Linked DNA regions of Ovis aries. The protein of the gene in region 4 interacts with the protein of the main gene of each other region in a pairwise test. Links are inferred from orthologs where the notes say so. Each region holds a gene or a part of one and is shown on either strand. Other genes may lie near its edges. The genes, in order: PTPN12, CD2, LSM4, PSTPIP1, TULP3 and protocadherin beta-14.

What was found.
Region 1: the proteins of PSTPIP1 (region 4) and PTPN12 interact in binary tests that used the Homo sapiens proteins (3 or more experiments, as listed by UniProt). The link is inferred for Ovis aries from reciprocal best matches to the Homo sapiens genes PSTPIP1 and PTPN12.
Region 2: the proteins of PSTPIP1 (region 4) and CD2 interact in a two-hybrid assay, tested with the Homo sapiens proteins (2 studies listed by BioGRID and IntAct). The link is inferred for Ovis aries from reciprocal best matches to the Homo sapiens genes PSTPIP1 and CD2.
Region 3: the proteins of PSTPIP1 (region 4) and LSM4 interact in binary tests that used the Homo sapiens proteins (3 or more experiments, as listed by UniProt). The two-hybrid records come from large-scale screens. The link is inferred for Ovis aries from reciprocal best matches to the Homo sapiens genes PSTPIP1 and LSM4.
Region 5: the proteins of PSTPIP1 (region 4) and TULP3 interact in binary tests that used the Homo sapiens proteins (3 or more experiments, as listed by UniProt). The two-hybrid records come from large-scale screens. The link is inferred for Ovis aries from reciprocal best matches to the Homo sapiens genes PSTPIP1 and TULP3.
Region 6: the proteins of PSTPIP1 (region 4) and protocadherin beta-14 interact in binary tests that used the Homo sapiens proteins (3 or more experiments, as listed by UniProt). The two-hybrid records come from large-scale screens. The link is inferred for Ovis aries from reciprocal best matches to the Homo sapiens genes PSTPIP1 and PCDHB14.

The regions. Positions count from the first base shown.
Region 1 is NC_056057.1:45,191,065-45,195,049, reverse strand, and holds the start of PTPN12 (tyrosine-protein phosphatase non-receptor type 12), read left to right. Parts: upstream 1-1,185; 5' UTR 1,186-1,625; coding exon 1,626-1,724; intron 1,725-3,985. UniProt on the Homo sapiens protein: Dephosphorylates a range of proteins, and thereby regulates cellular signaling cascades. Dephosphorylates cellular tyrosine kinases, such as ERBB2 and PTK2B/PYK2, and thereby regulates signaling via ERBB2 and PTK2B/PYK2.
Region 2 is NC_056054.1:94,163,468-94,166,967, reverse strand, and holds part of CD2 (T-cell surface antigen CD2), read right to left. Parts: intron 316-3,500; coding exon 193-315; intron 1-192. UniProt on the Homo sapiens protein: CD2 interacts with lymphocyte function-associated antigen CD58 (LFA-3) and CD48/BCM1 to mediate adhesion between T-cells and other cell types. CD2 is implicated in the triggering of T-cells, the cytoplasmic domain is implicated in the signaling function.
Region 3 is NC_056058.1:4,695,295-4,698,534, forward strand, and holds the end of LSM4 (U6 snRNA-associated Sm-like protein LSm4), read left to right. Parts: intron 1-105; coding exon 106-289; intron 290-2,104; coding exon 2,105-2,196; 3' UTR 2,197-2,740; downstream 2,741-3,240. UniProt on the Homo sapiens protein: Plays a role in pre-mRNA splicing as component of the U4/U6-U5 tri-snRNP complex that is involved in spliceosome assembly, and as component of the precatalytic spliceosome (spliceosome B complex).
Region 4 is NC_056071.1:29,891,891-29,895,851, forward strand, and holds the start of PSTPIP1 (proline-serine-threonine phosphatase-interacting protein 1), read left to right. Parts: upstream 1-1,161; 5' UTR 1,162-1,576; coding exon 1,577-1,612; intron 1,613-3,961. UniProt on the Homo sapiens protein: Involved in regulation of the actin cytoskeleton. May regulate WAS actin-bundling activity. Bridges the interaction between ABL1 and PTPN18 leading to ABL1 dephosphorylation.
Region 5 is NC_056056.1:212,691,583-212,695,082, forward strand, and holds part of TULP3 (tubby-related protein 3), read right to left. Parts: intron 1,709-3,500; coding exon 1,575-1,708; intron 1,188-1,574; coding exon 990-1,187; intron 1-989. UniProt on the Homo sapiens protein: Negative regulator of the Shh signaling transduction pathway: recruited to primary cilia via association with the IFT complex A (IFT-A) and is required for recruitment of G protein-coupled receptor GPR161 to cilia, a promoter of PKA-dependent basal repression machinery in Shh signaling.
Region 6 is NC_056058.1:49,975,379-49,979,607, reverse strand, and holds the start of protocadherin beta-14, read right to left. Parts: upstream 2,801-4,229; 5' UTR 2,632-2,800; coding exon 232-2,631; 3' UTR 1-231. UniProt on the Homo sapiens protein: Potential calcium-dependent cell-adhesion protein. May be involved in the establishment and maintenance of specific neuronal connections in the brain.

The DNA.
Region 1 (3,985 bases), on a different chromosome or scaffold from region 4:
TTCTTTCTGAGAAGAGTAGATTTGTATGTATCAGTTGTATTATTTTAAAAAGAAATATTTTTCTTTAAAACAAATAGGAAATTGGATCTTGCTACTCACACCTGTTTTCTTCAAGTTTATTATTAAATTCCACGGTGCTTCTAAACATTCATCTGGGAAACGGGGCCTGCTACTGATATTTATTTTAACCAAATTGCCTAACCAATCTTATCCGGAAAAAGCATTGTTTGTGGTATAGTGAACAAAAGGAAGTGACCTAGAGAAGTTCATGGATCAGGTCTTTCACTTCAGTCACATTATCACGTTTACGCTCCTTAGTGAGAGGTAACATGGTGCTGGTGAGAGAAAAAGGATCTGAGTTCCAGTTTGGGCTCTGCTAAGAATATACTGGGGGACCATGAGCAAACACTTTCATTGTAAAATGGTGAATAAGACTAGGACAGATTTCTTTGATTACTAGAAGACTTACAAAGATGCAGTCTAGGGTGAAAAATCTATTATTCAGTTCTGAGTTGCTCCGAATCTAAAGGCAAGAAGACAAATTCTCTCCAATTCAGCAAACGTGTGTTATGTATTAGGACCACTGTGAATCTCAGGCGCTCTTTCACCAGGTTTTAGACTGATTTGCAAAAAAGCAAAAAAGTCCTCTCACTGAAGAAGCGTTTCGTTTCTCTTGGCCGTGGCCATTGCCCAAAGTGCCAAGATCTAATTGCCGTCAACATTAAGATGAAGACGTACCTGCTGCGAACGTGAAGACACTACAGTTCCCAGCATGCCTCTCTTCCCACCGCCGCCCTCTCCCGCCCCTACTCCTGGACTCTTGCCGGGCCGGGACTTGCAGTCCCAGCTCAAAGCCGGCGGCGGCGCGAAAGCAGTCTAGAAATGTACTTTTCCCACAAAAAGGCGGTGAGACCGCAGTTTCCAATTCAAGTCCTACTCCAACTGACTAGCGTCTGTCCGGCGGAGTCAAATTCCCTCCAACCAGCTCTCTTCAGACCGGCAAACTGCTGGGGCGGAACCACGCCCCGGAAATGAGGTCAAGTCCCCCAGCTGACGGCTGAAGCTCCTTCCAGCCACTCCTAGACGGACTAGGACAGGCGGGGCGGGCTTGGGGGCGTGGCAAGCGGGCGTGGCTCAGCTCGGCGTAGCCCCGGGGATCTAGCCGCTGCGCGGGGCCGCGCGTCTGGGTGGCAGCGGGGGCGCGCCCGTGGAGAGTGGCGGCTGCGGTTGCTAGTCTGGAGGGAGGGAAGGAGGAACCGGGAAGGGGTGGGGGGGGCAGGGCGATCGGAGAGCCGTGTTCCTAAGGCGGTGGCTGCGTCTCCGACGGAGCAGGAGCAGGGCGGGGAAGGAGGATGGAGCAAGCTGGGGGTTGGGGTTGGCGCTAGCCGCTGCGGCTCGTCTACTACTGTGGGAGAGTGGCTGCTCCTGGAAGTTGTAGGATCGGGAGCCGGGCTGGTGCCGCCGGTGCCGCCGCTGCCTTGGGCGGTGGGGAGGAGCAGGGAGCGTCAGGGGTCGGGAAAGACGGGACGGGTAGGGGGCGCGAGCTGGGGAAGACTGAGCGGGCTCTGCGCCGGGCGGGCGGGCGGCGGGGGGGCCAGCGACCGCAACCGGGGGGACGGGGGAGGATGGAGCAAGTGGAGATCCTGAGGAAATTCATCCAGAGGGTCCAGGCCATGAAGAGTCCGGACCATAATGGGGAGGACAACTTCGCCCGGGACTTCATGGTGAGTCCCTCCCCTCGCTGTTGCCTCCTCTCACCGGCATCCAAGCCCACTGCCTCTTCGCCCGCCCGGCCCGACCGCCGGCGCTTTGTGTGCGGCTGTAAGGAGAGGGGCGGAGGGGGCGCGCGCCAACCCCAAGGGCCGGGGTTGACTCGGAGGCTGGGAGGTGAGATCGCCCCTCGTCCTCCTTTCCTTTCGTCCTGCGATCGCGGCCCCTTCCGCCCGCGTCCGGAACGCGAAGAGAGGCCGCTGGCCAAGCCCGCACTTAGCGCCGCCGCCCGCGACCACCTATTGTTTCTCGGGCTGGGAGCGGGAGGCGAATGAGGTGCAGGCCGGTAGGCTCTTCTCATCTCCCCATCCAGTCTGCTCCTCCTGGGAGGGTCGAGGCAGGAAGGAGAGCGGATAGCGCCGACTGAGGAACGGAGCTATTAAGGTTGCATTTAACTCGTGGGGTCCCTTTGCTCAAGCTGGTCTCAAAAGAGGTCAGGGTAGGACTTTTTGCTCTTTCTGGGTTCGCAGTATTATCTCCAATGCAAGAGAAAGGATAGTCCATAGGAAATCTCGTGGAATGTTCGATTTCCATTTACTGCCGTCCTGTCTCTTGTCTCTTGAGACCCAGGTTTTAGATGGTGTAGGGGTCAACGTGATTTGAGGTTGAGGGATAAGTGTGTGTAGAGGCAGGGCGTGGGGGTGGAGGGTGCGTGGTTATCCCGAAGGAAGCCTACTTCAGACTCCCTAGGGGATACTGCCGAAGGCGGAGGGGATGTGACTATCACTTCCTATCCGGGGTGGGGGTGGGGAACTTGGGAACAATAGTCCTGGTGGGGCGGAGGCGACTGTACGGGCTGAAGCCCTGAACTGGGAGATAACCTTCGTAGTCTCCCCACCCCCCTTCCGACATCCCCCCTCCCCCTTCCGCCCTTTGCTTGTACTGGCGGGCTGGATAGGAGGTTAAAAGTCTTGGTCGTGGAATTGCTCTCGAGCCATCACTACGAGGGGGTCAGATCCGAAGGCGTGGGACCAGAAGTCGACTTCCTCCATTGCCACCCCCCCTCCTTTATTTTTCTGCTGGACAATGTTCCCTTTAGGGTTGTTTCTCGCCTTAGGAGGCGGTGGTTGCGGCGCTGCTCCTACGGATATTGCGCAAGACTGGGGCGTTGGAAACCCTGGAGGTCTGGGGAATGGAAAAGGAAGTGGGACTTTGGGAAGTGGTTGCTCCTTAGTCTTGGCGGGGTTTGGAAATGGGAAATAAGCTAGGGAAAATTTTGCTTCTGGGCAAGATTCACCTCCAAGAGTAGTCACCTAACTCTGAAATTCTGGATTGTGAAAAAGATACACAGTTAATGTGTATAAAAATGAGTCGCAAACATTGGCTAGTTTTTGTTTCAAAGTACAGTTTAATTGTTTACAAGGTGCAGGTGAAATGGCTTTTCGCACTGAAATACGAAATACTTTTCACATTTTAAAGAGACTTTGGTCTAGTAAAACTTTAGCGTTAACATTCTTAACCCTTAACTTTACTCAGTGTCATAACAGTATAGTTGAGCTTTGTGATTCCCGCCTCCCTAAACCAATAATAGAAGATAGGAGTTTGGTTTTGTTAGTATCTTTTGAAAGTGTAAAAAATGTTGATTAAATAATTTATGGTTTATTTTAAACATTTCCTCTTGATACTTAGCCCATGTATCTCCCCCCCCCCAATTTCCCTTTTATCTGAAAAAGTTAAAGATGTTTCCTTCTTCCTATTGGGAATTTTGAATGTGTTAGGTATCTTTGAAATGACATCACAGTAATTGGACAGAGTCCCCCTTTTATTACTCTCTAGCAAACATAAAAGAAAATATTTACTTAGATTTTAAAACTAGTCTAACACAGTCTTACTTTGGATGTGGAAGGAGAGGTGTGTGACCCTGTCCACTTGGCATGTTGGTCCTCTTGTTCTCTATGGACATATCCTGTCAGGAAAGGGCATTGTTTGCTGATGCAGGCCATCAGGACAAGTGCCCAGTCTCTGAACTCCTGTACAGGGGAAGTAGCCTTCGGGTTCATGCTTTGGGGATGAGTCAGGGATTCCTATTGGAGATTTCGTTTCTCCGGGACTAAATGAGTTTTCTTTTTCTTCCCTAATACCTAGGGATATCTAGGTGATTCTGCATTTAAGATTTGATGACTAAGGCTGTTCTTTTACAGTGCTTGCTTTTTTTATTCTGTGACTTGATAAGCAATAGCTATAATTAAATCTGCCAGTTATGCCTCTTTTTCTC
Region 2 (3,500 bases), on a different chromosome or scaffold from region 4:
CACTGAGAATCTGTTTTTCAAAACTCAAGCTAACCACAAAATGGAACAAACTGTAACCGCCGGTGAAGGCTCTGACGTTCTGAAACTACCCATTTCCAGTTTTTTCTTTCCAGACTCGGTGCCAGCCTCATGAGCTGTTTCCACGGGGATTTCACCCGGGCCTGCGGTGGGGCAGAAGAAGGGGGAGCTTACCATCTCTCCTGCGGCTCTGCTTTTTCCTCCTGCTGATGTAGCAAATGAGTAGTGCCACGAAGATGAGGAAGACGATGCCTCCTAAACAAATGCCGATGATGAGGTACAAATCCAGACCTTCATCTGCAAGAGGAACAGATGCGGCATGGATGGGAGGTCCTGGGAAGAGGGGCCATTTCATTGCTCTGGCCAAGGACTCGAAGTCTCCTGCCTCCCATCTTAAGGATGAAAGAGTCTGATGGGACTTCTCAGCCTTACGGAGGCTAAGCTCATGGAGGCTGGTGAACAGGGTCAAGGAGGGCAGGGTCCAAGATAAGCCCTCTCACAAGGCTCCTTCGAGAGCTGTTCTTCTGGACCAGAAATGCCTGATTCTTCGTGAGCCAAGGGTCTGTCCCCTCTCAAGGAGGATGTCACAGAAGTTTTAGATCTGAGAACGAGGTTAGAGAAAACCTAGCGTAATCTCTAGTTTCACATACAAAGCCCAGATGGGAAGAATGAGTTGCCTGAGGTCACACAGCATCCATTCCCGAGTGGTTCCTTTAAGCAGCCCCTCATCTTCATGTTTCTGCACTGTTTATCCAGCTTCATCTCTGGTTGCCCTCCTACATCATGATTGCTTTTTCCTCATTCTCATGACCAGGTATTTTCCAAAGACAGGATCCATGTTTCATGTGTCCAGCCCAGCTCTCTAACCTCAAAGCCAGCACCCTCTCCCAGGTTTTCCCTGGCCTGTGAGAGAAACTCAGACACACAGTGAGTTAGCTGCAGCAGTGAACTTGATCTTCAACTCACAGACCTTCAGCTGCTGTAATGCAATGAGGGTAACAATGACTGTGTTAAAAGGAATGGATTTGAGTGCAGGCTTTTCTAGGTAGGAGCTGTGTGACCTTTGGCCAGTGACTTCACCTCTCTGAGCCTGTTGCTGTCTTTGAAAAAACAGAGATAATGAATTTACATTATAGGTGGCTGTTGGAAGCCAATCAGATAATGGATGTGAAAGTGCTTTATAAAGTGTGTAACTACACACAAAGATGGGGGCCTGCCCTGGCTACAGTTCTGTGCTCTGGCACTTCTGGGAGCTGTTTCCTGAGAGGGATGCTGGGCCATCTCCCCCTTTGTGAGTCAATAGCAGTCACAGAGTCAGCAGCTGGGGCCAGGGGTCAGGGCACTCTTCCATCCTGAGAATGAACAGAGCTCGGCCCAGCATCACAAGGAAACCCTTCTCCAGCCAAACATTCTTGAGAAGATACTGTTACACATGAAGCCCAGGATGGGCCCCAGGAACAAGCCAGAGGCTCAGAAACCAAACTAAACAGGTGTTCAGACTGCAGTGGTTTGTTAATCCTTGCTTTTCTTCCTAAGTGTCTCTCTCTCTGAACCATTCTTTGCCTGCCTGTTGCACAGAGTTTCTAGGCTCTGTGGATGAAGGGGCTTCCATTACAAAAGCAGGCCTAATCCTAACCTGCTGTGAGACTGGACTGGGAAAGGCAGAAGGGCTCTTTAGGTTCTGCCTGCTTGGAGAAAGGGCCAGGGCTATCAGAATCCACCTTGGGCTCTGACCTGGGGGTGCTGGGGGCAAGCCTAGGACCAGTTGAGGAACACGGGGCTAGACCATGCAGCCGCCAGCCTGTCTCCTCAGAGTCCTCAGACGGGACAAGTGTGCCCTTATCTGGGCACACTTGGGAATGTAGGTGTGCCTTACACAATCTGTTCGCAGATTTGTCCAGCACAGCCTCTGGGTGCTTTCTGTGGGAAAGGTTCCAGCATGTCTCAGCTGTCATTCAAAGCTATGTCCTCACAGTCACTAAATCCAGCCACACTCTTTTCTGCACTCCCTCTCAGAGATAATATGCCCACGAATTCACGTGGTAGAGTCCTTTTGCGTATCTAAACCCGCTCCCTCCTCCTACTATTTTGATTTTAAGTACATGCTTATCTATTTTGAGCCAAGTGGTTAATCACGTCCTTGCTCCTCTCTAGGATGATGCGTCCAGATCCACTTTAGGGTCTTCAAGAGCAACCTTGTCCTCCCCAGGCTTGCCCTAGGTATTCCTCCCATCTCTCTAGTGCCCCTTCCCCCACCTGGCTCCCCCAACTCTGCACCACAGGGAGGTTCCAGTCTTCGAACCCCAGCTCCCCTCAAAGCCCTTCCTCTCTTCCTCTATCCCTAATGCACACACATTTTCATACTGCTGGGATCTGGTTACAGGAGATGACTGGTTAAATTAGAAATAAACAATGAATAATTTTTTACTATAAGGGTGTCCCATGCAACACTTGGAGCACACTTACGCTGTCATTTTAGGGACTTCCCTGCCAATCCAGTGGTTAAGACTCCGTGCTTCCAATGCAGGAGGTGTGGGGTCAATTCCTGGTTGGGGAACTAAGATCCTGCATGCCATGCAGGGTGACCAAAAAAAAAATATTTACACTGTTTGTTTGTTTTTTTAATTTGCTAAATCTGACAACTCTAATTAAGAGCATCCTGAAAGGGGATAAGAGCTTGTAAAGTCGAGGAGGGGCTGCCTCAAGCACTGCGCCTTAGTGATGGGGGGCACAGAGGGATGGCTGGGAGTCAGAGATTTCACAGGAGGTGACGTGACACTGGCCTGAGCGTGTGACTTGTGGACTCTAGGATGGTCCCCACTGAGCCCTGCCGCCTGAGATTTCTACCTGTGTGTGACCCCCTCTGATTAAATGTGGGCCGGGCTTACTGAGTGCCTCCTGAATGAGTAGAGTACAGCAGCAGTGAAGGGACCTGAGACCTAGTACGCAAAGACCAAAGGCCCTGGCTTTCGTTCTGGGCCCTTACTTTTGCTGTTTCTCAAGCTGCTCTGAGGGAAGGGGCTGCCATAGTGGGAGGCAGCCGCAGGCCCGCCACGGGTAAACTTGGAAGTGGCTCCTCCCCCAGCAGTGCTCATGCCTGGCTGACATGACTGCAGCCCCTTGATGATGGCCTCATGAATGACTCAGCCAGAACCATCAGCTAGGCCAGCCCCAGATTCAACGTCTCACAGAAACCCTGAGATTATTATCTTCAACGCTGTTTGCTGTTTTAAGCCGCTAAATATGGAGTCGTTTGTTGCACAACTGAGAACTAATTCAAAGTCTATATTAAAGTCTTACTTCTGACTTCATACCAGCTCAGGGTTGCTTCCTAGGGTCACTGACCAGCCAAAATTGCTATAGAAATTAAGGAAATACGGCCAGATCGCTGTTTTGTTTTGTACTCGGCTTCTTTTCAGGGGATTGACCAGGCAGCAATGGAAAGATAATCGTGGAGTATCAGATAAGTAGACTTTTGGGGA
Region 3 (3,240 bases), on a different chromosome or scaffold from region 4:
TACCCTGCGGGGGCGACGCCAGGCACAGGGAGCCTGAGTGGATGGATGCTGCCCGGCTGCCTACACGTTCCTCCCCACGGCTCTGACACGTACCCCCTGTTGCAGGACGGGGACAAATTCTGGCGGATGCCCGAGTGCTACATCCGCGGCAGCACCATCAAGTACCTGCGCATCCCTGACGAGATCATCGACATGGTCAAGGAGGAGGTGGTGGCCAAGGGCCGTGGCCGCGGTGGCCTGCAGCAGCAGAAGCAGCAGAAGGGCCGCGGGATGGGGGGCGCCGGGCGAGGTAGGCCCTTCTCTCCGCCCTCTCCCCTGGCAGGCAGCCGGGGCCTCCCCGCTGGAGCGTGACTGCCGCGCGCGGCATCTGGCCTGGCCCAGTGCTGGCATTCTCCGCTGGTGGCGTCATGTTGCCGAGGGCCTGGCTCTGCGCCCCTCCTCCATGGCACTGGGGGGCTGTGACTCACGGGGCTCTTCTGTGGAACAGTTGGTGCTGCTGGTTGCCACCTGCATGCCCCGTGTCCCCCACCCCAGGAGCCCAGCTAAGCCCTAGTGGTCAGTGCTGGCCGCGCCCATCCTCACAACATGGGCCCTCCTCCCCGCAGTGGCTCTTGGTGCTCCCTCAGCTCCAGATGCCGCCCAGCAGACTAACCCAGCACCCACACAGACCTGGGACTTGAGCCCCACCTGTGTTTCCTGGCAGGTGCTCTGGGCACCTCGGGGAGGCTCAGATTCCCCCCTGCGGAGAAGATCCCCGTGGTGCCCAGCCTGGGACCCTTCCCTGCTGTGACTCCTTTAGACAAAACCAAGGTCACGCCTTTTGGGTAGATCACCCCGCACCACCCTGAAATCATAAATCTTGCATAAAACTAAACGTGCAGTCAGCTAGAGCCGCAGCCCAGAGGCCAGCTGTGGGCCCCACCCTCCCCCACCCGACTTCTGTCTCACCCACCTGGAGGGGCTTGTATGCCAGGTTCCAGGAACCCACCCTGGAGGCTTATATGCAGAGCCAGGAAAGACATAGGAGCCCCCCTGAGCTGAGGCTTGAGTGACAGAAAGGAGCCAGAGAGAAGAGGGCACCGCAGGTGGAGAAGAACCTAGGATGGGGGTGAGCAGGGCCCCAGAGGTCCCAGGACCTGCCCCCAGGGCTAGGCTGCCCACCCAGGGTGCCATCGCTGTCGAGTAAACTGCCTGAAGGAGCAGGGAGGACAGGGAGAGGCGCTTGCATAGGGGCCCCTGCATGACCAGGCTCCCCTTGCCCAAGCTGGGTCTTGCTCCATTAGAGATGAGGCTGGGCAGACCCTGTCAGCCCTGGCCCTGTCCCCTGTATGCGTGTGGAGGAAGGGGGCCCTGGAAGGCCAGGCTGCTGCTTCTGTGACTTCCTGGGCAGGGGCTGCACCCACCCTTGGGCTATTCACCTTCCCCAGCAGCAGTGCTGTGTGCTCCACGTAAAATGCCTTTCGGAAACAGCCCCACCTCTGGCTGCAGAGGTCAGAGCTCAGGAGGCTCCCCCGCCCCTTCTCTGGGCTGGACACACAGAGACCCCACCCCACCCCATTGTTTCAGCAAGGCAGGGTGGGGTCCCCCGGTGCAGCCCCAGTCACAGAGCTGAGCATCGTTGCTCCACCCCTGGGCTGAGTCCAGGCCTCATCCTAGCTTGTACTCCCAGCTCCTCCTGGAAACCCTTCTGATTTTGTCCTGCTGATGACTACCCACCCCCTCACCTTGGCCCTCAGCCCTCTCTTCCAGGAAGCATATCCCCCCCCCCGCCGCCGCCCCCGCAAGCCCCAGTGTGACTTGATGCCAACCTCTGTCCTTCTTGGCATCCTTCGCACCCCTGGGGCGCCTGGTCTGATATCCCTTGTCACACTGAGAATGTTGTGGAGCAATACCCCTGCCCAGCCCTGGTCAGACACTCCATCTCAGATTTTCAACCTGCTCTTCCCACCGACGGTACAGTCACTGCCCCCACTTTACAGAGGTGAAAGCTGAGGCTCAGAGGGGTTCAACGACTTGGCTATAGTCTAAGGGTTCCAGTTCCTGGTCCTTGCCCACAGTGACCCTCCCAGCCTGGCTCTACTGAACCCCCCCTCCTGTCTCACAGGTGTGTTCGGTGGCCGGGGCCGAGGTGGGATCCCTGGGACTGGCAGAGGTCAACCAGAAAAGAAGCCAGGCAGACAGGCGGGCAAACAGTGAGCCGCCCCTCCATTCCCGAGACTGAGCTGCCGCGCCGAGCACCTGCTCCCACCCTGAGGCTGCATTCCTGGTCTCCAGTTTATGACTGTTCAGAACAAAAAGAAGAGGCAGGGGTCGGGGAGGACCCCCTGCCTGTCCTCTGGTGGTCCTCCTCTTTTTTTGTTAGCCAGCAGTTCTATGGTTGGAAATGTTAATTCTGTGCTTCTGGTTTTGTGAAGCCGCAGCCAACTGGATTCCTGGAAGATTCTGTGTTTAATGCATCGTTAAAGCCCTCACTCTTGTTTTAAGGGCAGGCATTTTCCAAACAGGTTTGTTTTGCATTCTGTGTGGTAAACAGACGGGAGGTTTTTATTTTCAGCTGTTTGCACTGAGATTGATAGCCTGGAGGGTCTCCTGAAACACGGACCCTGAAACTGCCTTTTCGAAATGGATCCAGGCAAACGTATGCCTCAGAAGCTGTTCTGGGGGATGATGCTGGGCCCTATTCCGTCCCTTCTTCTCTCCCTCTTTGTCTTAGAAAAATAAAAACAAATACAACTACAAACTGCGAAATCCATAATTCCTTTGAACCACTGGGTGAATCTAGTTGTAGTGTCCTCAGGAAATCACAGCCCCCACGCAAGAAGTTTCCTTTTGCCCCCTGTGGCCTCTCACCAAGGGGAAGCATTTCAATGGGACACTGGTTCCCATGACCCTCAGCAGCCTCTTACAAAAGGTGGAAGGCAAAATGGGGGTCTGGGCAGTAGGGGAGCCCCTTCCCCTCTGTGGGGCGGTGGGGGAGGGAAGTTGTGGGTGGGAGCCAGTGGGACACCCACACTGCCTGTCCTCAGCCTCCATCTCTGTTGTGCAAGCACTGTTCACAGCAGAGCTCCCTGAGAAGCCGTGACATGGAGCTGCCTCCAGGAACACATGAGGAAGGCTTTTCACGAACTGTTTACCTCCTCTTAGGGTCGGGGCACTTGCCTGTCCGCGACTCAGCGATTTGCCTGAGACGCTGAGCCAGCACTTGTGCGGAACACTTCCGGCGATGTGGTCCTTTGACCG
Region 4 (3,961 bases):
ACACACAAGGATTCTGGAGGTAGGGGGCTACCCTCATAGCCTCTGCTCTGCAGCTCTCCCCAACAAGTTCTCTCTTGGGTGGTTATTTCAGAGGTGTGGGTGTGCCCCAACTCTAACCCCAGGCTCACATAGCTGGTACTTGGGAGCTTAGGTCTCTCCTGCGGCAGCTCTCATCTGTCTGATCACCACAGTCAGTGGTAAGAGAGGCATTGCTGAGGGTGGTGATTTGTGGACGATCCTGATTCACCCCTTCTTGCCAACACATCCCGGGCTCCGGCCCCCCCTGCCGGCATCTTCTGCTGAGTAGGCAGGCGCTTCCTTCCCAGGTGTCTGGGGCTCCAGTCCAAGGCTCTTCCCAAGGTAATACCAGACACACCGAGAGAGCCCCAGCACCTGCCCTACAAAAAACAGAAACTCCAGTAATTCCCTAATCTTTCCCAAAGATTAGGGGTGGCTGACAGGGAAACCAAGGCTTGGAGAGCTGGAGGGTGGATTAAAGTCCTTCTGAAGGGTAGGGCCCAGACAGAACAAAAACAGGGGCCTCCGCCTGGATTTTTCAAACTCTCCCATTTATGCCTCTGTAATCCTGTCTCTCTCGGTCCAACAACATTCTTTCAGCCTGAAGACCCCATCTTCAGAGGGGACTTCCTGCCCCAGAGAGGGTCTAATCTGGAGACCTGGAGAAGAGGCAGGCTCCATGAGGCTGTTCTCTATTGGCCTAGCTACCTGCTCCCCCCACCTCCATGCTCTCACCTTCCTCCCACAGCCAGCCCACAGCTATGTCTGCCCCCAGACTGTGACTTCCTCGAGGGCAGGACGCGGACTGGGGCATCATGCACGCAGAGTTTGATAATGTTCTGGGTTGGGTGAGCCCCTCCCTTCCTGAAGTGGTTTGCTGGTGACGGGTGGAGAGTCTGGGCTCTCTGGACCTGGGCCGGGGTGGGGCTGGCGTGGTGGGTGACAGCACCTGGGTTCCTGCCCTCCTCCTTGCCCACAACTGCAGTGGGCCTCAGGCTCTCTGGGCTTGTGGCTCAGAGAACATTCCCCGCTAGAACATCAGAAGGGGGCAAGTGGAGGCGCGTAGCAGGGTGGCAGGTGGCAGGCGGGGCGGCTCCACTTCCTGTGGGGCGCCGGCCCTGGAGCCTGCCCCGGGGAGGTTGCACAAACCTTCCTGTGGAGGCCCCGGGGACCGCCTCTCCCGCTGGCCACTGCCTCTGCTGACCCGGGGCTGCCCTCCTTGCTCTCAGTCCTGCAGCCTGGACTGAGTCTTCCATCTCCGCAGGGCTGGCGAGGGGCCGGGCCGGACCGTGGGGCCCTTCCTCCCGTCACTGGGCACCAGCCCTTCCTCATTTTGCCGCTGATTCTAGCCCCAAACAAAACAGGTTGAGCCCTTTTCTTCCCTCTGGCAGTCTCTGGCTTACGGCTGCCTTCGGAGGCGCTGCAGAGGGCTCCGCCGGCCGGGGAGGGGGGCCCCGGGCCAGCCCTGCCGGGACTGGGACTGTGCGCCTGGCTCCTGGCCCTCGTTCAGCCCTGACCGTGGCAGGAGAGCAAGCTTTGCCGTGGCAGTTGCCTGAGGATGATGCCTCAGCTTCAGTTCAAAGATGCCTTTTGGGTGAGTGAAGATGCCTGTGGGTTTGAGCAACTGGAGTGTGCCTGGGGAGGCCAGCTCAGCTGACATTTCCTCAGGGCGGTGGGTTGGGGATGTGGCTCCCAGAGGGGGGGTTTTCTCATAAAAATGATGGCTGATTTTGATCCTTTATTGTCGTGGGGTGAGGGGTGTGACCTGGGCTGTTTCTGAGTTGGAAGTGGACAATGGGGGTCCTCGGTCTGGGGTACTGATTCCTCTGCAAACTTCAGCAAGCAAGGGATGGATATTCTCTGGGATCCCAGGGCAGATCTTTCCTCTGGGAGACCCCCTCTGCACAGCAGGAGCCTTTTAGGAGCATCTGATATATGGCTGGGAACTTGATGAGGACTTGTGAGGTAAAGGAGGAAGGGTCACAGGTCTGGGGACCAGATAAACTTGAATTTGGATTTTGGCTCTGCTATTTAGAGTCTGGACAAGTCATTTTACCTCTCTGAACTTCATTTCTGGCCACCCCCCCATCTATATGGTAGAGATAATTAACAAACGTGCTAACTGAATGGGAGAGCTAAACGAGGGGATCTAATGTAACAAAATCCCCTGCATCTCGCTGGAGCACCAAACGGGAATCTCTTGCCCTTACCCCACCCCTCTTCACCCCTCTTCCTTGCAGACCTTAGGGGTCCTTCAGGGAGGCAACAGGGCTGGGCAATTCCTTGCTCGCTTTCTTAAATTCAGCACATGTGTAAATCAAGTCTTTTCCTTGTGAAATTCCAGCGCCCAGCTGGCTTGTGGGGGTGAAATTGCTGGCCCCAGGCCACACAGCCTGCAAGCCCAATTTGGACCCCACCACCTTTTTTCCTGCTGTCTCTCAGCCTACCCCTCTGCTTCTCAAGCGCTGACTGTTCCCAGTGGCTCCCAGGGAAAAGCTGAGACCTCTCTGGTTAGAGCTGAGGAACGTGGCTGTCCTGAGGGCACCCCCTCCAGCCACGCAGAGGACACTGGCTCTTTGCTCAGTCGGCCTGAACTCAGCCGACAGTCTGGCCTCCCTGGGCCCTTTCCTGGGGCCTCCAGCCAGGAGGACGAGAGCTAACGAGCCAGGTCTTCCTTCCCTTCTGGGCCACGCTCTCCTTGGGGCCCATGGCCAGAGTCTGAGTGGCTTGCTTCCCGCCTGCTCTAACTGCACAGTAGGCAGAGGGCTGTCTCTCTGGGCCTCCATCTCCCCATTTCTACAGAGAGGGGCTGGGACCAGCCCAGAGAAGCCAAGGGAAGCAGACCTGCCTCGGCCCCTTCCAAGCACCAGTCTGGCAGCTGGGACCCATGTGAGGGGTGGGGGCTGCCGTCAGCAGGGGATGCGCAGACTGGACAGTGCATCACTATGTCATTGCTCTGACTTGGAGTGCAGAGCTGGGGAAAAGTTAGGGCTTCCCTGTGGCTCAGATGGCGATGAATCTGCCTGTAAGGCAGGAGACCTGGGTTTGATCCTTGGGTTGGGAAGATCCCCTGGAGAAGGAATTGCCAACCTACTCCAGTGTTCTTGCCTGGAGAATCCCATGGACATTGGAGCCTGGTGGGCTATAGCCCATAGGGTCACAAAAGAGTCAGACATAACTGGGAGACCCACACTTTCACTTGAACATCCAGGTGGTTAGCAGCCCATGGCGGGCCAAGCACACCCTGGCTGTATTTGAGTTCCAGGACGTCTGGTCCAGCCCAGAGCCTTTGGTTCCACCCTCCCGAGGACAGAGCTGGCCTGAGGAGCAGCCCCAAGGCAGGATCTGGGCAGGAAGGGGGTAGGTGGTACCGGAGGGAGCAGGGTGTGGTGGCAGCATTCTACCTGCGGCGGCTTCCTGTGCTGCGTCCCGCCACACTCTGTGCTCGCCCCACCTTTGAGTCGCTTGCAAGTTCTCCTCTCCTCTGCTGCTGGCTCCGGGGGCTTGGGGTAGAGGTGCCACTTCCCTAGGGAGGGCCAAAGCAGGGAGGGAAAGGCCAATGCCCCCGGGCTCTGAATCCTAACCTGTGTCCCAGACGCTCAGCCTGGCCCAGGCCGCAAGGACAACTAACCCCAGCACTAAAGACGTGTCAAGCACTGTCCTCAGGACTATGCATCTGTTGACTCATTTAAACCCAGGAAGTGGATGCTATTGTGGCACCTATTGTTCACAAGAAGAGGCCAAGGCACAGAGAGCCTCAGTCACTTGCCCAAAGTCACACAGCTGGGTGAAACCTGGACAGGTTGGCCCCAGTGTCTGCTCTCACTCAGGTGCTTCATTACCTCTTTAGCCATAGCGCCCATCACTGGATTTTTGGGTTACGTTGGTGAAGGAGGGAAAAACTCAGTCCTTCCTTACCTCCCAGAGAAATCAGATCAGATGG
Region 5 (3,500 bases), on a different chromosome or scaffold from region 4:
AAGACGGCCTCTACCCTGGAGAGGCAGGACCTTGGACACTGGGCCCCCCGCTCCCCACCGCACTGCCCTCCTGCTGCACTGTGTTAGTGGCTGTTCTGAGCTCCTGTGGCTTCAGAGATGTGGGTACCATGGTGTGGACATCCTTCCCAAACCCTGCTGAACCTGGAGAGTGACAGGGAGGTGGGCGAGGACAGTACCCGGGGGTGGGGGGGCACTATGGAGTCAGACAGGTTGAGACTGATGTGGGTGATGTGGGTGCTCCCCGAACCCCAGTCACCTTGCCTGCACAGGGGGACAAGGACTCCTGTCTTACAGCGCTGTCTTATGGGTTCCAGGTGATGACACACACAAAGCCGGGGCACACGCCTGGTGCGCAGCACACACGCCTGGTGCGCAGCACACACGCAGTGAACAGCGGCTGTCAAGAGCACTGACACCTACTACCACCATCTTATTTCTAGAACCTTAAAATCATCCACTTAGACCTGGTATTAACACAAAATAGGGTGGTCACTAGCAAATACTAACTGCCTCAAATTTAGGGTAAATTAGAATTTCTAGGATGCAAAATAAGACATTTCACTGATACGTTTTTGTTTTTCCAATTCCTCCTATTCCCTAAAATGTACTCTCTTTTTCCCACACTGGCATGTTCTACCATGTAATAAGAATAAAAGTCTAAGAGCACGCTGGAAACCCCTGCACCCCAAAAGAAGGATGGAGGTAAAAACATCATTTAAATATTCTCCTCCATTTTATGACTCCTTGATAAAACTCTCTTTCTTCTGGGGCGGGGGTGGATTTTGACTATTAGACTAGGACCTCTTTGAAGACAGTGAGAACACTGCCCCGGACACTTGTAAGTTCACCCTCGTTCCTGCTGACTAGGTCTGAGACTGGTGCCCCCCAACCCCTGTTGCTAAGACCATCACTGTCCCTGCCCCGACAGCACACTTCCTTCCATCTCAAGATAAGAGCCACTCGCCTACCTTGCGATCCTCATCCTTTTCCAAGTGCATGTAGTAGGTGGGGAAGAGCCCCCGGTCCATTCCTTTCTTGTCCCGGGTTATCCGGCACTTCACTGTGACACCTCGTGGGGCAGGACTGTATGCAAAGCCTTCCAAGTCCTCCATTTCTCCCAGCTGAATGTCAGAGTGCGGGGATGCGGTCCCGGAGGCCCCTGTGCCCTGAGAGAGCAACCACAGCTGGGTCAGGAAACCTCATGTTCTCTTTGAGAAACACTTAAAGGACAAATTAACTTACAAATTAACTTACAAATTAACTTAAAAATTAATTTACCCATATGTCTTCCGTCTTCTGACAAAATAAGGAAAAACTCTGAGAAGTTGAGTAAGTATGTGACCACTGGGAGTAATGAAGCAGAGAAGTACGAAAATGGGATACAGCTTTACAAAAGCTGGCTGAAGACACAGGAAATAGAGTCGTGGGCTCTAAATATAATTCCAGCTTAAATCCTGGAAGCAGCCCTCATCCAGTGATGGCACTTAAACAGGTAGACGTGTCCAGCAAGCAGCGAAATCAGCCCCAGAGGAAGAAGGTTCAGGACTACACACCGGGGCTGGCTTCTGGTTGGATGCAGAACCGGGCCTCTCTGCCTCTGAACACGGCGACTGAGACCTTAGTTGGTTCCCTTCTCCTTCTTCCCCATCAGTCTCCTCCTCGTCAAAGTTCAAACTCCCTGAGATCCCTGGCAGAAAGGGAGAAACTGTTTTTAAAAAAGGCCAGAAAATCTTTGAGCCAAATATAACTTTAACTCCCTTGCTTAAAACATTCCAGCTGTTCTAACTTAACACACGGCTCTTTTATGCACATTCTGACAACTCTTTCTTCATATTCTCACCTACTCCATCCCTCGTTTTCCCTGCCCACTTCTGCCACCCTAATTTGAGCCTCTTTAAAACATTCTATGAGAGAAAATATCTGCAAATCATACATCTGATAAGGATTAATATCTAGAATATTTAACTCAACAGCAATAAAACAAACCCAATTCAAAAATGGATCAAGGACTTGAATAGACATTTCTCCAAAGAAGATACATAAGTGGCCAATAAGCATGATAAGATTCTCAACATCACTAGCCATTAGGGAAATGCAAATCAAAATCACAATGCGATACCACTTGACAAGCACTGGGATGACTACTATAAAAAAAACATACCAGGCTTCCCTGGTGGCTTAGTGGTAAAGAATTCGCCTGCCAATGCAGGTGACACGGGTTCTATCCCTGATCCAGGAAGATCCCCCATGCCGCAGGGCAGCTAAACCCCTGTGCCACAACTACTAAGCCCGTAGCCTACAGCCCGGGAGCTGCAACTACTGAAGCCCGCCACCTAGAGCCCGTGGCCCGCAACAAGAGAAGTCGCTGCACTGAGAAGCCCCAAAACCACAACTAGAGAGTAGCCCCAGCTTGCTGCAACTAGAGAAAAGCCTGGGCAGCAACAAAGACCCAAATAAATAAGCCAAAATAAATAAGTAAAATAATAAATTTTAAAAAACAACAACAAAAACCCAAAACCAGAAAATAAGTGCTGGTGAGGATGTGGAGAAACTGGAACCCTCATGCACTGCTGGTGGTGATGCGAAATTATGCGGCCACGGCAGAAAGCAACATTGTGGTTCCTAAACTAGACATACAGAACTGCCCCAGAGTCCACCAATCCCACCTCTGGGTATGTTCCCAAAAGGAGGAAGAGAGACACAGACAGGCACGTGAACAACCGATGTGCAGAGCCGTGTTCTTCCCAATTTTCAGATGGTGGAAACAGCCCAAATATCCAGCAACCGATGAATTAACAAACCGTGGCACAAACGCAAATGGAACGCTATTCAGCCTTAAGAAGGAATGAAATCCTGACGCCTGCTGCAACATGAACGCATCTTGAAGACACGATGCTAAGTGAAAGCAAGTCAGACACAAAAGGCGGAAGCCCCTGTGATTCTTCGTGCGCTGTGAGGGGAGAGGAGGAGCTGGGGAGGCAGAGTTCACCGGGGACAGAGGCTCAGTCTGTGAAGGTAACAAAGGCCTGTAGACGACAGTGGGGAGGCCCAGGAGGAGCAGTTCTGCCCAAGACAAAGAAGCAGAGCTCCGCTTGAAACCCAACCCTCTTTCTCTTTGGTCTCTGGGGTAAGGCTGCCCCTCATACAATAGCTGGCACAGCCTCCAAATCGTAACTGGCAAGGAGACCGAGCAACAGGCAGTCCTACCCATCTCGGAGGAGGGACCACCATGAGCTCTTTTCACACAGTTCACAAATAAATGGTATCAAGTTTTTCTCAAGGACACCCAAGGATAAGACTAAGGCCAGGAAAACATACATCCACATGAAAATGTATGCACAACTATTTACAGCAGCGCTATTCCTAACAGCCAGAGTGGAACCACCGCAACTGTCCATGAGCTGATGACAAGAACAAAAGATGGCTTATCTGTACAATGGAACGTCACTTGACTATAGACAGGAATGAAGCACTGACAG
Region 6 (4,229 bases), on a different chromosome or scaffold from region 4:
GACCAAATGTACCAAAAATCAGAAAACTATTTTTCCATGACATTATATAGCCACTAATTTAAAGCCACTGAAGATTTTTAAAGCAACTGCGAGGAGAGCATGAGAAATGATAATATATGCAACTACCATCCAACATAAAATATATTACAGATTGGCAAAAAGGGGCCTACAAAAAAAAAGGGGGGTCTATAGTTTGCCAAGAATAACAAAACATCAGAAGTTTAAATTATTTTACTGAAGGTTGAGTCCAAAGCTATTTCTAAAGTTCTCATTTTCCCCTATATGCCTACCGGAGTCTTGGACTGGAAGATCAGGGATAATTGGCTTCAGAAATTTAAATTCATTCGTCCCAGGACCTCCCATCAGACACACCTCGTACTGGTAGCTCTGCGACAGGGTCCCCGTGCCGCTGACGTCCACCAGGTGGCCCGGGAAGTGGCCCTCGGGCACCGGGCAGCGACCCGCCGAACCCGCCCCGCCCCTCCTGCACAGCCGCACCGCCACGAACACCAGCACCGAGAAGAGGAAGAGCGACGACACCGACGCCAAGGCCACCACCAGGTAGACGGTGAGCGGGTCGGCCGGCGCCGCGGCCGCCGCTTCCGCTTCCGGCGGCGGCAGGTAGGGCTGCGAGAAGCCGTCCACCAGCAGCACGTGCAGCGTGACGCTGGCCGACAGCGGCGGCTCGCCGTTGTCCTTGACCAGCACCACCAGCCGCTGCTTGGGCGCGTCGCGCTCGCTCAGCAGCCGCGCCGTGCGCACCTCGCCGTTGTGCGCCCACACGCCGAACAGCCCGGGCTCCGTGGCCTTGAGCAGCTGGTACGACAGCCAGGCGTTCTGGCCCGCGTCGCCGTCCACCGCCACCACCTTGGTCACCAGGTAGCCCGGCTCGGCCGCCCTGGGCACCAGCTCGGTGCAGGGCGCCGAGGCGTTCTGCAGCGGGTAGAGCACGAAGGGCGCGTTGTCGTTGGCGTCCGCCACGAGCACGCGCACCAGCGCCTGGCTGCTGAGCGCGGGCGAGCCGCGGTCGGTGGCGCCCACGCGGAACTCGAAGGCCCGCAGGGCCTCGTGGTCCAGGGACGTGAGGGCGAAGAGGTGGCCGTTGTCGGGGTTGATGGACACGAGGGAGGCGAGGGGCAGGAGCGGGTCGGGGGGCGGCAGCAGCGAGTAGGTGACCTGTGCGTTGGCGCCCGCGTCTGAGTCTGTGGCGCTGACGCTGCCGATGTGCAGGGCGGGGCTGTTGTTCTCGCGGACCCACAGGGTGTAGGAGGTCTGGGTGAAGGCGGGGGCGTTGTCGTTGACGTCGGACACCAGCACGGTTATGTTGTGCTCGGTTTTCAGTCTGGGAGTTCCCATGTCAGTGACCGAGATGGTGATGTTGTACTCTGCTCTTTCCTCTCTGTCCAGTGCTTTATCTGAAACTAGGGTGAAAAAGTTCTTGAAGGTCGGTTTCAGAAAAAATGGGAGGTCCTCTTGGATAGAGCAAATAATCCTTCCATTTTCTCCAGAGTCTTGGTCTCGGACACTAAAAAGAGCCACAAGGGTCTCTGCGGCGTTCTCTGGAATTATCTTTGTAATTGATGAGATGATCACTTCCGGTGGATTGTCATTTGTATCTATTACTTTCACCAAAAGAGTGCATTCTTCGGAAAGACCCCCACCGTCTGTTGCCTGAATATTTATAGTGTAGGATTGTACTACTTCAAAATCCAGTTGTGATCTCAAATGAACTTCCGCAGATATTGGATTGATTTCAAATGTTTTACGAATATCTTCTGATGCATGAAAAAACGTATAAAGTATTTTCCCATAATTTCCTGCATCCAGATCCTTAGCAGAGACGGTGATAATCCAAGAGCCAACCGGTGCGTTTTCCGGGACCTGTACCTCATAGAGCCTCTGCGGAAATTCCGGGGCATTGTCGTTGATGTCTAAGACCTTGATGAGGACCAAAGTTGTCCCAGACCTGGGTGGGTTTCCACCATCAAGTGCTACAAGTGTTAATCTGAGCTCAGGCTCCTCCTCATGATCTAAGGCTCTGTGCAGGACCAGTTCTGGGTATATCTTTCCATTGTCGCTGTCTTGAATTTTAATGTAGAAGTGAGAATTGGGGCTAACTGTGTAGTTTTGAAGACTGTTGCTTCCTACATCCAAATCTTGGGCACTCTCCATTAGGAATGTAGTTCCAATAGCGGTACTTTCTGATATTTTAATAACTATTTCATTGTCAAGAAATGTAGGGGAGTGATCATTTATATCTTTGATGTGCAGCTCAGCCTGAAAAAACTGTAAAGGGTTTTCCAATACCATCTGAAAATGCATCACACAGGGTTCCGTGGAGCCACACATCTCTTCCCGGTCCAGTTTATCATTTATCAGCAAATCCCCAGTCAGCAAATCGAGGTGCAAATGCTTTTCATTATCATCACATACTACCCGAGCCTCCCGTGAAGAGAGCTCCTCCACACCAAGCCCCAGATCCCTTGCCAGATTAGCCACCAAAGAACCGATTTCTGTTTCCTCTGCCACAGAATAGGGCACAGACTCAGGACGAGCCTGAGACAATCCCAGTAAAACAAAGAGAATCAGGACTTGCCTTTTCCGCAGAACGAGTGCCCCTCTGATCTCCATGGTTCTTTGAAGAAACCTCTTTTGTGGAAATTTTTTAGTTCAGCCCTAATTTTGCAAACTGAGGCTCTGATTTTTTTTAAGTTGGAAACTTCTGAAGGCTATATAAACCTCCAAGTCTGTAGGTGAAGCGCCTTAATACCTCTCTTTTCGGTGGGTTGGATGTTCTCTCTTCTCATGAATAATGGAGCCCTGTGCTGTAGAAACACTGTTTTTGTCTTATACTGCAGCGCCACCATGTGTCTCTATGAATTTTTTTCAGTAAAAAATTTTTTCTCTTTGAACAAGTAATTCATCAACTCATCTGGAGTATTTTAAAGCAATCCCAGACATCATGTACTTTTACCTCTAAATACTTCACTAAGTATCCCTAACAGATAAGGACTACAAATTTAGTGATACCTTAAAACATTTTATATTCGATATGTGTTTGCATTTCCCCATTTTCTTTTAAATCAGTATTTAAACAACGTTCATGAAATGCATTGAATTATCAGTTTTGAATGCTTGACAAGGAGAACCATTAAAATATCCGGAACCGAAAGAATTATGTTTTATTCAGGCCATTTCTTGAGTTATTGCAAATGTTTTCTCCTCTTCAGTCTTATAAACGCTTATAGATTTCAGTCAGTTATGGTTAATATTGTCATTACTTTTTCACTTGTATATTTTTTAAAAACTACATATTAAGGACATGACATTGTCTTTATGGGGCTCAAAGGCTAGAAAATTTGGTAATCACAATATGCCAAAGTAATCAAATATGCCAGATAATCAAAATATGCCAAAATATATGCATAGGTAAATAGTAATATGTAAATACCTAGAAGACACATCTTATACCCAGGAGATAGCACTGCATAGTGGTTATGAACATGGATTCTGGAATCACAGTATCTACATTAGAATCCTAGTTCTACTACTCACTGTCTACAGTCATGGGCAAATTATGTACCTCTGCTTCCTTACCTATAAAATAGGGGTAATATTAATGTTTACCTTTTAGGATGATTATTGTAGGAATCTAATGGTTTAATATTTACAAAGTGGCTGGTAAGTGCTTGTTCAGTTCAGTTCAATTGCTCTTTGTCCGACTCTTTGCAACCCCATGGACTGCAGCATGCCAGGCTTCCCTGTCCATCACCAACTCCCAGAGCTTGCTCAAACTCGTGTCTATCAAATTAGTGATGCCATCCAACCACCTCATCCTCTGTCATCCCCTTCTCCTCCTGCCTTCAGATCTTTCCCAGCATCAGAGTCTTTTCCAGTGAGTCAGTTCTTCACGTCAGGTGGCCAAAGTATTGGAGCTTCAGCTTCAGCATCAGTCCTTCCAATGAATATTCAGGACTGATTTCCTTTAGGATTGACTGGTTTGATCTCCTTGCAGTCCAAGTGTCTCTCAAGAGTTTTCTTCAACACCACAGTTCAAAAGCATAAATTCTTTAGTGCTTATCTTTCTTTATGGTCCATCTCTCACATCCATACATGACTACTGGAAAAACCATAGCTTTGACTAGACGGACTTTTGTTGGCAAAGTAATGTCTCGGGTTTTTAATATGCTGTCTAGGTTGGTAATAGCTTTTCTTCCAAGGAGCAAGCA